Linked DNA regions of Saccharomyces cerevisiae S288C. Changing the gene in region 2 together with the main gene of any one other region gives a genetic interaction. Each region holds a gene or a part of one and is shown on either strand. Other genes may lie near its edges. The genes, in order: CCH1 and FIG1.

Region 1 (7,880 bases), on a different chromosome or scaffold from region 2:
CGGGTAGACGTTTAGGATCTTTTAACCTAAGTAATAATGCGAACAATGGAAAATGGTTAATGAGTGCAATGACAGCTTCCGAGAATATTTCGATAGTTATTGTTAGCATTCTCAAAACTGTGTATGACATATAGAATGCCATCACTGTGGGAGTCAAGAACACTAGAATAATAAATAATAATGTTCCCAATAGCAATTGATCTAGTTGAAAATAGTTATGGTCAATCCTATTTCGTAAAACGTTCCTCTTTTTACCGCAGAACAGGTTAAAAAGACTAGCCATAATATTCAACTGACAATGGTACAGTTTACTGCTGATACGATAAAAAACATATATTGGAAAACTTAAAATTGCAAAAAAATCAATCGCTAGGGAAACAGCAAAAGAAAAGCCAACGAGAAACATCATATATATCGTTAACGTGAGCAAAGATGATAGGGTTTTCGGATCAATGAGTCTTTTTATGAATGTGGTATAAGAAAATTCTATCACCCAAAGAAATAATTCGCTCAAAAAGTTCGCAAGTTCTGCATTTAATTTGATGCCAAGGGGGTTATTTGCTAACGTTTCAGTTATTGTTTTTAATGAATCATATAAAAAAAACTTCAATACTCTATGGGATGCCGACACCAAGAAATCTCGATTCTCAATAAGTATGGCCCCCAATATTAAACCAAATGAAATGTCATTAATAATAAGCCAAATTGTATTATACAATAAAATATAATCGGGATAGAATTTAGAAGGCATATATGAATGTGAGAATTGACTATTAGAATTATCTTTTTCCACCATAGAGCCAACATTCTGTATGTTATCCTTCTTATTAATACGCTCATACTGTACTGGGAAATAGCAAATTTGTTGACAACGAAGATCGATTTGCTGGACAAATGCCGAGTAATTTACCAACTGAAAGTGCGAATAATTTAATAACGAGGATACGAGACTAGCAATAGAGCAGATCACAAAAGTCAAATAAAAACCAATTTTTGCGACCATTTTATAAATACAAGTAGATGAACACCAAGCTGCGACACTATTAAGCATAGTACCCCTCAAATTTTCCTGTGATGTTTGAATAAACGGGTAAAGCTCATTTAATGCTTTACAATATGCGGGGAATAGATTAATGATGTTCAAAGTTTCACTCAATTTCTTATTATCTCTCTTGTATCTTGGATGTTGCTCTAATTTAGAATAGTTCAGAGTTTCACCCACACTACTATGAAGACCAACTTCTTTTTCTGGTATGATGAGCGAGATGGGATCAGAAGAATAGAATTGCATAAATTTCAGCTTGGGTATTCTAAAATGGACATTACAGGGATCAGCAACTTTGTAGTTCCAACCCTCCGCTCCATTGTTCTTAGTAGCTACCACTGAATAAGGGGGCCGTATGCTTACTTCTTCTAAATACTGAGGTTCGCAAACACCTAAGACAACAAAATGCGTCTTCTCAAATGAAATTGCCAAAGCTACCTGAGGTCCTTGAGCTGCGGAATTCTCGAACAAGGATTCGTATGGCCAGAAAATGTAATTTGGCATGTCATTTAACTGTATAAAACCGCCCCTGAATTCGAAGGTTCCTGTTCACAGAGGAATTTTCATTCTTTTTGGTATTATGTTCTGGTAGGTTTTTTTCATATTCTACATTTCGGCATTCTCACTGAAAATAAATATAGATGAGATAGAAGATCATGAATCAATGGTTGGTGACAAGCTAACATAAGGAAAATCAAAATACACGGCATTACTAAATAGAATATATTGTTAGTACTATGCAGGGGAGAAAAAGGACGCTTACGGAACCATTTGAGCCAAATACCAATCCATTTGGGGACAATGCAGCAGTAATGACGGAAAATGTTGAGGATAACAGCGAAACAGATGGTAACCGTCTAGAATCAAAACCACAAGCTTTGGTCCCACCAGCTTTAAATATCGTGCCACCAGAGAGCAGCATCCACAGTACTGAAGAAAAAAAAGGTGACGAGTACAATGGAAATGATAAAGATAGCTCCTTAATCTCCAACATATTTCGTACTCGTGTCGGAAGGAGTAGTCATGAAAACTTGAGCAGGCCTAAACTCTCACTTAAAACAGCATCATTTGGTGCCGCTGAATCTTCCCGGCGTAATGTTTCACCCTCTACAAAATCTGCCAAGTCTAGTTCGCAGTATATTGATTTAAATGATGAAAGGCTACGCAGGCGTAGCTTCAGTAGTTATAGCCGATCATCTAGTAGGCGTGTTTCTAATTCACCAAGCTCAACGGATAGGCCTCCACGGTCGGCAAAGGTTTTATCGCTAATTGCCGCTGATGATATGGATGATTTTGAAGATTTGCAAAAGGGATTTAAAAGTGCAATAGACGAAGAGGGCCTGACATGGCTACCCCAATTAAAATCAGAAAAAAGCCGTCCTGTATCAGACGTTGGAGAAGATAGAGGAGAAGGAGAACAAGAATCTATACCTGACGTTCATACACCCAATGTAGGAGCAAGCGCTACTCCAGGATCAATTCATCTAACACCCGAACCCGCGCAGAATGGTTCGGTATCTGAGGGTCTAGAAGGCTCTATTAATAATTCAAGAAAGAAACCCAGTCCAAAGTTTTTTCATCATTTATCACCGCAAAAAGAAGATAAAGACCAAACAGAAGTTATTGAGTATGCTGAAGACATTCTAGATTTTGAAACCCTTCAAAGAAAACTGGAATCAAGGCCCTTTGTGCTTTATGGACATTCTCTTGGGGTTTTCTCGCCTACGAATCCGCTAAGAATAAAAATTGCTCGTTTTTTGTTGCATAGGCGGTATTCGTTACTTTACAACACTTTGTTAACATTTTATGCCATTCTCCTGGCGATAAGGACATATAACCCTCACAATGTGGTTTTTTTATACCGTTTCTCTAACTGGACCGACTATTTCATTTTTATTTTATCAGCTTGCTTTACAGGCAATGATATTGCTAAAATAATTGCGTTTGGATTTTGGGACGATTCTGAAATGTTTAAAGCCTATGGACGTGAGTATAAATCAATCTTACAGAGATCTGGAATTATGAAACTATACATATATCTGAGAGAAAAGTATGGTAGAAAGCTAATAGATTTCATTATTCCATTTAGGATCATATCGCCGGGAGAAGAGACAAAATATCAACGAAGTTCGTTGAGTACTTCCCTGACGAAACCTTATGGGGCAAAGGAAAATCAGAGGCCTTTTGGCACCCCAAGAGCCTTTGCGAGATCATCGTGGAATAGAATAGATCTGGTATCTTCTGTCAGTTTTTGGCTAGGTATGTTTTTATCCATAAAAAGTTATGATACAAAAACAGGCATAAGAATATTCAAGCCCCTTGCTATATTAAGGATTCTTCGACTTGTAAACGTGGATACTGGTATGCCCTCAATTCTAAGGGGATTGAAATATGGTATCCCACAGTTGGTAAATGTTAGTTCAATGCTAGTTTACTTTTGGATTTTCTTTGGGATTTTGGGAGTACAGATTTTTCAGGGCTCTTTTCGAAGACAATGTGTATGGTTTAACCCTGAAGATCCTACCGATACTTACCAGTACGATATGCAATTCTGTGGTGGTTACCTAGATCCAGTAACAAAACGAAAACAAAATTATATCTATGAAGACGGATCAGAAGGTTCTGTTTCAAAAGGCTTTCTTTGCCCACAATATTCGAAATGTGTTTCCAATGCCAACCCCTACAACGGCAGAATTAGTTTTGATAATATTGTTAATTCCATGGAGCTCGTTTTTGTCATTATGAGTGCGAATACTTTTACTGACTTAATGTACTATACGATGGATTCGGATGAAATGGCTGCCTGTTTGTTTTTTATTGTTTGCATCTTTGTTTTAACTATCTGGCTGCTAAATCTACTCATTGCAGTGTTGGTATCATCTTTTGAAATAGCCAATGAGGAGTACAAAAAGAAAAAGTTCATATATGGTTCTAGAAAGACAGGTTATGTTGCTCGCATAGTAACAGGCTACTGGAAATATTTTAAGCTTAAGGCGAATCAGACAAAATTCCCAAATTGGTCCCAAAAAGGACTAGCTATTTATTCCCACGTTGAGTTTATCTTTGTCATACTTATTATTTGCGATATAGGTATGCGCGCCTCTGTTAAAGTATCGACTTCGGCAAACTGTAACAATATCCTTCTAAAAACTGACAGGGGAATTTCGATTGTTCTCTTCATCGAATCACTGGCAAGGTTAGTATTATATCTGCCCAATATGTGGAAGTTTTTAACAAAACCTAGTTACGTTTACGATTTTATTATATCAATTATTACTCTGGTTATTAGTTGCCTGGCTGTTGAAGGGGTTCTAGGACATATGTATGCCTGGCTATCCATATTCCACATATCCAGATTTTACAGGGTGATTATTTCTTTCAATTTAACAAAAAAACTATGGAAACAAATATTGAGTAATGGTGTTATGATTTGGAACTTATCGTCTTTTTACTTTTTTTTCACCTTTTTGGTTGCTATAATCATGGCTGTGTATTTCGAAGGCGTGATTCCTCCAGAAGAAATGGCAGACCAGCCATTTGGAATGTATTCACTACCGAATTCATTTCTTTCTTTGTTTATAATAGGTTCAACTGAAAATTGGACGGATATCCTATATGCCCTCCAAAAACACTCACCAAACATCTCCTCAACTTTTTTTTGCTCAGTATTTTTTATTATATGGTTTCTACTATCCAACTCAGTGATCTTGAACATTTTCATTGCCCTAATATCAGAAAGCATGGAAGTGAAAGAAGAAGAAAAACGACCACAGCAAATTAAGCATTATCTTAAGTTCGTCTATCCTCAGAAAATACAAGAATATACACACGCTAGTTTGGTTGCGAGAATTCGTAAAAAATTCTTTGGAGGTCATAGGAACGAAGATACAAGAGATTTTAAGCAATTTCTTATGAGAGGAACCGCGATAATGAACATAGCGCAGAATATGGGGGAGTTGGCCGATGAATTCAAAGAGCCACCTTCAGAAAACCTATTTAAAAAGGGCTTATCAAAGCTCACAATTGGGGTTCCGTCACTAAAAAGGCTGAGAATGTTTGCTAATAATCCATTTTATAAAAATAGTGACGTTGTGTTTACAGAAACGAACGATATAAATGGGAGGACGTATATCTTGGAGTTGAATGAGTACGAGGATGAGAAGCTAGATTATTTAAAAAAGTACCCTTTATTCAATTACTCATATTATTTCTTTTCTCCTCAGCATAGATTTCGAAGGTTCTGTCAACGCTTGGTACCACCAAGCACTGGAAAAAGGACTGATGGATCACGATTTTTCGAGGATAGCACTGATCTATACAATAAAAGGAGCTATTTTCATCATATTGAAAGAGATGTATTTGTATTCATTTTCGCACTTGCCACCATTTTACTAATTGTTTGCTCATGTTATGTTACGCCTCTATATCGTATGCATCACAAGATGGGAACTTGGAATTGGTCCTCGGCGTTAGATTGCGCCTTCATTGGTGCCTTCTCAATTGAATTTATCGTGAAAACAGTAGCTGACGGATTTATATATTCTCCAAATGCTTACCTGAGGAATCCATGGAACTTTATTGATTTTTGTGTCCTAATCTCAATGTGGATTAATTTAATTGCATACCTAAAAAACAATGGAAATTTGTCTAGGATTTTCAAGGGATTGACAGCCCTGAGGGCCCTCAGATGCCTCACGATCAGTAACACAGCTCGTCAAACATTTAACCTAGTTATGTTTGATGGTTTAAATAAAATTTTTGAAGCTGGGTTGATTTCACTCAGTTTGCTATTTCCATTTACAGTTTGGGGCTTAAGCATTTTTAAAGGCCGTTTAGGTACTTGCAATGACGGAAGTTTGGGCCGTGCAGATTGTTACAATGAATATTCAAATTCCGTTTTTCAATGGGATATCATGTCTCCAAGGGTTTACCAGCAACCATATCTTCATTTGGACTCTTTCGCAAGCGCTTTTAGTTCATTATACCAAATCATTTCTTTGGAAGGATGGGTTGATTTGTTGGAAAATATGATGAATAGTTCAGGAATAGGTACACCCGCTACGGTAATGGGTTCAGCAGGGAATGCTTTATTCCTCGTTCTGTTTAATTTTTTAAGTATGGTTTTCATCCTGAACTTGTTTGTTTCATTCATTGTTAACAACCAAGCAAGGACAACAGGAAGCGCTTACTTTACCATTGAGGAAAAGGCGTGGCTGGAATCCCAGAAACTTTTATCTCAGGCCAAGCCAAAAGCTATCCCAAATTTAATTGAGTTATCAAGAGTTAGGCAATTTTTCTATCAACTTGCAGTGGAGAAAAAAAATTTCTACTACGCATCGTTTCTTCAGGTAGTACTTTATTTGCACATAATCATGCTCCTGAGTCGAAGCTACAATCCAGGAAACTTGATAGGTTATCAAGGTGTTTATTTTATGTTTTCCACTAGTGTTTTTTTAATTCAAGAGGCACTTCACATGTGCGGTGAAGGACCAAGATTATATTTTAGGCAAAAATGGAACAGCATACGACTCAGTATCATAATTATAGCCTTTATTATGAACGCTGTAGCATTCCACGTTCCAGCCTCTCACTATTGGTTCCACAATATAAAGGGGTTTTTCCTGTTAGTGATATTTTTGTTTATTATTCCTCAAAATGACACACTAACTGAACTATTAGAAACCGCAATGGCAAGCTTACCGCCTATTCTATCATTGACCTACACTTGGGGGGTTTTATTTTTAGTATATGCTATTGCTTTGAATCAAATCTTCGGCCTAACAAGGTTAGGGAGTAATACGACCGATAACATAAATTTTAGAACTGTAATCAAATCCATGATTGTTCTGTTTAGATGTAGTTTTGGTGAGGGCTGGAATTATATCATGGCCGACCTAACTGTGTCAGAACCTTATTGCTCCTCTGATGATAATTCAACCTATACGGACTGTGGATCAGAGACATATGCCTATTTGTTATTAATGTCGTGGAATATTATTTCCATGTATATTTTTGTGAATATGTTTGTTTCGTTGATTATTGGTAATTTCAGTTATGTTTACCGTAGCGGTGGATCTCGCTCTGGCATCAACAGATCGGAGATAAAAAAATACATTGAAGCTTGGTCCAAATTTGATACTGATGGAACTGGCGAGCTTGAGCTGTCCTACCTCCCAAGAATAATGCATTCATTTGACGGTCCTCTTTCATTTAAAATTTGGGAAGGTAGATTGACAATAAAAAGTCTAGTCGAGAACTACATGGAGGTTAACCCAGATGATCCATATGACGTCAAAATAGACCTGATCGGACTGAACAAAGAGCTGAATACGATTGATAAAGCAAAGATCATACAGAGGAAGTTACAGTACAGAAGATTTGTACAAAGCATTCACTATACGAATGCTTATAATGGATGTATCAGATTCTCGGATTTGTTATTACAAATACCTCTCTATACAGCTTATTCTGCAAGGGAATGTCTAGGTATTGATCAATATGTCCATCATCTATATATCCTGGGTAAAGTGGACAAGTACTTAGAAAATCAAAGAAACTTCGATGTATTGGAGATGGTGGTAACAAGATGGAAATTTCATTGCAGGATGAAACGTACCATTGAACCCGAATGGGATGTTAAAGATCCCACAGTATCGTCTCACATTTCGAATATAAACGTAAATCTGGAACCTGCTCCAGGAATTTTAGAAAGAGAACCTATTGCGACACCTAGAATGGACTACGGTGTTAACAATTTTATGTGGTCTCCGAGAATGAATCAAGACTCTACGATGGAGCCCCCGGAAGAACCAATAGATAATAATGACGATAGCGC
Region 2 (3,704 bases):
TGAAACCTATGTCTTCTCACATCAATGATATAACAAAACACGCTTTTCAAAAAGTAAGGAATAATATACCAATCCTCCTTGTATCTATATTTACGGTCTAATTCATCAAAATAATTACCAAATAGATAACCCAGTGATTTCTGGATAGGGGTTATAATTAGCTTGATAAGTCTGAATAATAGCAGGAAAATCCTTGACAAGGCAAAGACAACAACCTGTATGGGAGACATAGTCGGTATTCGCAGCCTATTAAAAGTTCAACGATATAGAATTTGAATGATTTGGGCTTTTCAATTTAGTTTACGACTTTAAGGTCCTTATTTTTTTTGCTATAACATTAGTATTTATAAAAAATTTCTGGAGCTTTGTTACATTGCGCGAAAAACCCGCGTTCTATCTTTTTAGTCGCTCATCAAGGTGACAGTAAATAAAACAGACGGTAATGATTAGAGTTTAGGTAAGCTCATATTTTCTCTGTTGTTACTTAATTATCGAACGTTAAATTTTTTAAGTAGTTCATCACATTATATAATGTTAATCGTGAATTATATAAATTTTTTCTCCTTTTACTTTTAAAAATTGACATTCTGAAATATCCGCTCAAAACTTATATGTTTATTTGAGGATAAAACTAAACTTTGGAATGCAATGTAGATGAATCCGAAGAGTAGTTATTGTACCTATTTTGGGCACATGGAACATTATCAATTTCATCTTTCAAGCTTTTCCTATCCCTTAAAAATATTAACCATAAAACCACACTGTCTAAAAGGAGGAATGCAAAGCTAAACCAAGCCATTACTGCTGCCTTCTTGCCCTTCTTGACAGTGATTATATTCATACTTGATGATGGAACCAATCTGTAACTTGCATTTATCCCTACATGAGTCCACATCGCACCAATACCCCATGTCAAAACTATAGTTGAACTTAGCAACAGTAGAAATTTATTAACCGCTAGTTTGAATGGTAACTTAGGGACAGTTACATACAGAATAAATAGAAACATTAGGATTGTTAGGATTACAGTTGCCATCAAGACATATGGATGTATAACATTAACCGAAGTTAATTGGGCTAACTTCAAAATGTTCAAGACAACGCTTGATTGGGTTTTGGAGCTGGAAGATGCAATATTTGAGAGTTGAATTTCCAAGTCTCTGTATAAGGGAACCGAGCTTAAATTCTTTCTTGCATAGCAAATTGAATTGGAGAATGTAGTCATATTATTGTAAGAGCTATATTGGGAGGGAATGTTATCAATACAAACACCCATGTAACCGGATCTTATAATGACTTCCTCCAAGCCCAGAGTTGTATTTGATTTTTCATATGATTTCTCTATGATCGTATAAAAAGGTGAGTTGTCATCAAATTTATACTTCACTAGAAATGTTGACTGATTTGACGGGTTGTAACAGCCGATGAGAAGAAAAATCAAAAGAAATATTGAAATTAAATTAAAAGCTAATGCAAATATTCTGGGCATACGCTTGGTAAAAAACCAAATCATTGAGATTGCGACCATTTTTTTTTTTTTTTTTTTGTTTGTTTGTTTGTTTGTTTACTATAATTTCTTCTACCAAAGACAAGCAAGAACCTGAGATAAAAAACATTTAACAGACATTTTACAAATATATACCAATGTCTTTGTTATTTCAACAGCACTATATATTGTTTTCATTTTCTTGGTTCGTTTCATTGCTACTTAGCCATATTTTTTTTAACTGACACATACATGAAACCATCATAATCTTAATGGGAAAAAATCCTAAAGCGAGAAGGACTTTCAAAAAAAAAAAGTTTTAAAAATGTTATAATTTTTGTATTTTACCTGAATATATAGTAGTGTTTAGTATTTATTATCTTTCCTTTTCTATTTAAGGTATTCTTTGGATATATACTTCGTCTCATCAAGTCAAAATTCGTTTCATGTTCTACAAAAACAACGTCAAATAAAGAGGCAATGCAGGGTGATTTTTTTATCATCCCAAAGAGGAAGCACCAGTAATAATATCAACCAGTTCATTAGTAATGACAGCTTGTCTTGTTCTGTTGTACAAGATAGAGTAACGATTGATCATATCACCGGCATTCTTGGAAGCGTTATCCATAGCGTTTCTTCTGGCGGAAATTTCAGCAGCATAACCTTGAGCCATTGCTGTCAACATTTGGTTAGCCAAAGTATATTCAAACAAATCTCTTGGAACGTTTGCGTCCGTGTCGATCTCAAATTTGCCGAATGATGGGGATTGTTCAATGGTCTTGGCGTTAAAGATCGGTTTTTCAGATGGTTCAAAAGATAGGGAAGACACTGGGTCATTGTAGAAAATGGAAATCTTTGGGTAAGTGCCGGCCTTCATGACACTCAATAACTTATCGGCAATCAAAGCAGATTCTTGGAAAGTTGGGGCATCTTTACCAATTCCATTAATAGACAATTTAATGTTGTTAGGATGGGTTCTCAATAGCTGCATTTTAATTTTATCACCAATAGTGACTATATCGGCGTTTGGTTGATCATTCAAATGTCTTCTCACAGCTTTAGCCAATTGAGAGTGGATAGAACCACACAACCCCTTATCAGAGGTGATAGCAACAATCAACTCTTTAGGAGCACCTGTTTCAGTAGCCTCAACATCCAAATTTTTGGTTTCGGCGTTCTTGTAAAACAACTGCTCTGCTTCATCCATCTTCTTTGCGGAAATTTTAGCCTTTTCAGCTTTACTCAATCTTGTAGATGCAACAATCTTCATAGTTTTTGTGATCTTCTCAATATTTTTGATAGATTTCAAACGCATTTCCACTTCTTTCAAAGTAGCATAAGTTCTCACTGGGTTAGTCTTATAAAGAATACCCACTTGCGCTTGGTGGCACATTACGGAGCGTGTTGCATTGTTTGATACAATTCTTGACAACATGACTACTAAATAAAATAATGTTTACTGCTCGTCTTCAATTGTTTCCACCTGAAATTAACCAAAACGGTTCAGTCTCAATAGTTTCTTATTTGTCTTTTTTAACTGAGTGATAATCATTTAAGCATCTCCCTTCCGGGCCTTCTTTAATCGTTATTGCGGTCCGGGTTCCTCGCGTAGTTACTCGCCGCTCATTGGTTCTCCATCACGTGATAAACATTTCTTCCAAATAAATGAGAACGTTCATTAAATATCGAATAATTCACTTATTATATCTCCATCATATACTTACTAGTTCTAGCGACAGCTCCTATTCATATATCTTCTTACTTTTTTTTTGTTTTATCGACAATTGCTCTACGTTTCGACGTCTAGAAAATGTACTAAAACAGTGCGCTCTCTACCCATAAGGATGAAGAATACGTAATAACAAGAGTTTATTCTCCTTAGTATGTATTTGATAGCACACTCAGAAAGATGAGTTACTACTTGGAAAATCTCAAAAGCTCTTGATGCCCAGCTCATACATAAAAAAACGCCGGAGAACTTTAGCGTCACCAGTTACTGCGACACGGCTTTTAGAGAGGAAAGTAAAGGTCTATGAGTAAAAAGATAGATTATGTTATGCTACATTATATTTGGTATTGAAACATGTATATTATATATAAAAAGTCTAAGAGAGAAATGTCAAAATATCCTAGAAGGTAATGGTTGTCATAACCTGTACATTCTAAAACAGAATGAGAAAAAAGAGGGAATGACGAGAAATTAGCTGAAAAATACTGG

The links.
Region 1: mutations in FIG1 (region 2) and CCH1 impair growth when combined (synthetic growth defect), as found in Saccharomyces cerevisiae (2 studies listed by BioGRID, with this or other methods).

The regions. Positions count from the first base shown.
Region 1 is NC_001139.9:922,914-930,793, forward strand, and holds the start of CCH1 (calcium channel protein CCH1), read left to right. Parts: upstream 1-1,782; coding exon 1,783-7,880. Other genes in the region: GPI1 (phosphatidylinositol N-acetylglucosaminyltransferase), read right to left, coding at 1-1,549. UniProt on the Saccharomyces cerevisiae protein: Voltage-gated, high-affinity calcium channel that functions together with MID1 to mediate calcium entry into cells. Required during conditions of environmental stress.
Region 2 is NC_001134.8:314,792-318,495, reverse strand, and holds FIG1 (Fig1p), read right to left. Parts: upstream 1,529-3,704; coding exon 632-1,528; downstream 1-631. Other genes in the region: long-chain fatty acid transporter FAT1, read right to left, coding at 1-230; ATP3 (F1F0 ATP synthase subunit gamma), read right to left, coding at 1,986-2,921. UniProt on the Saccharomyces cerevisiae protein: Required for efficient mating.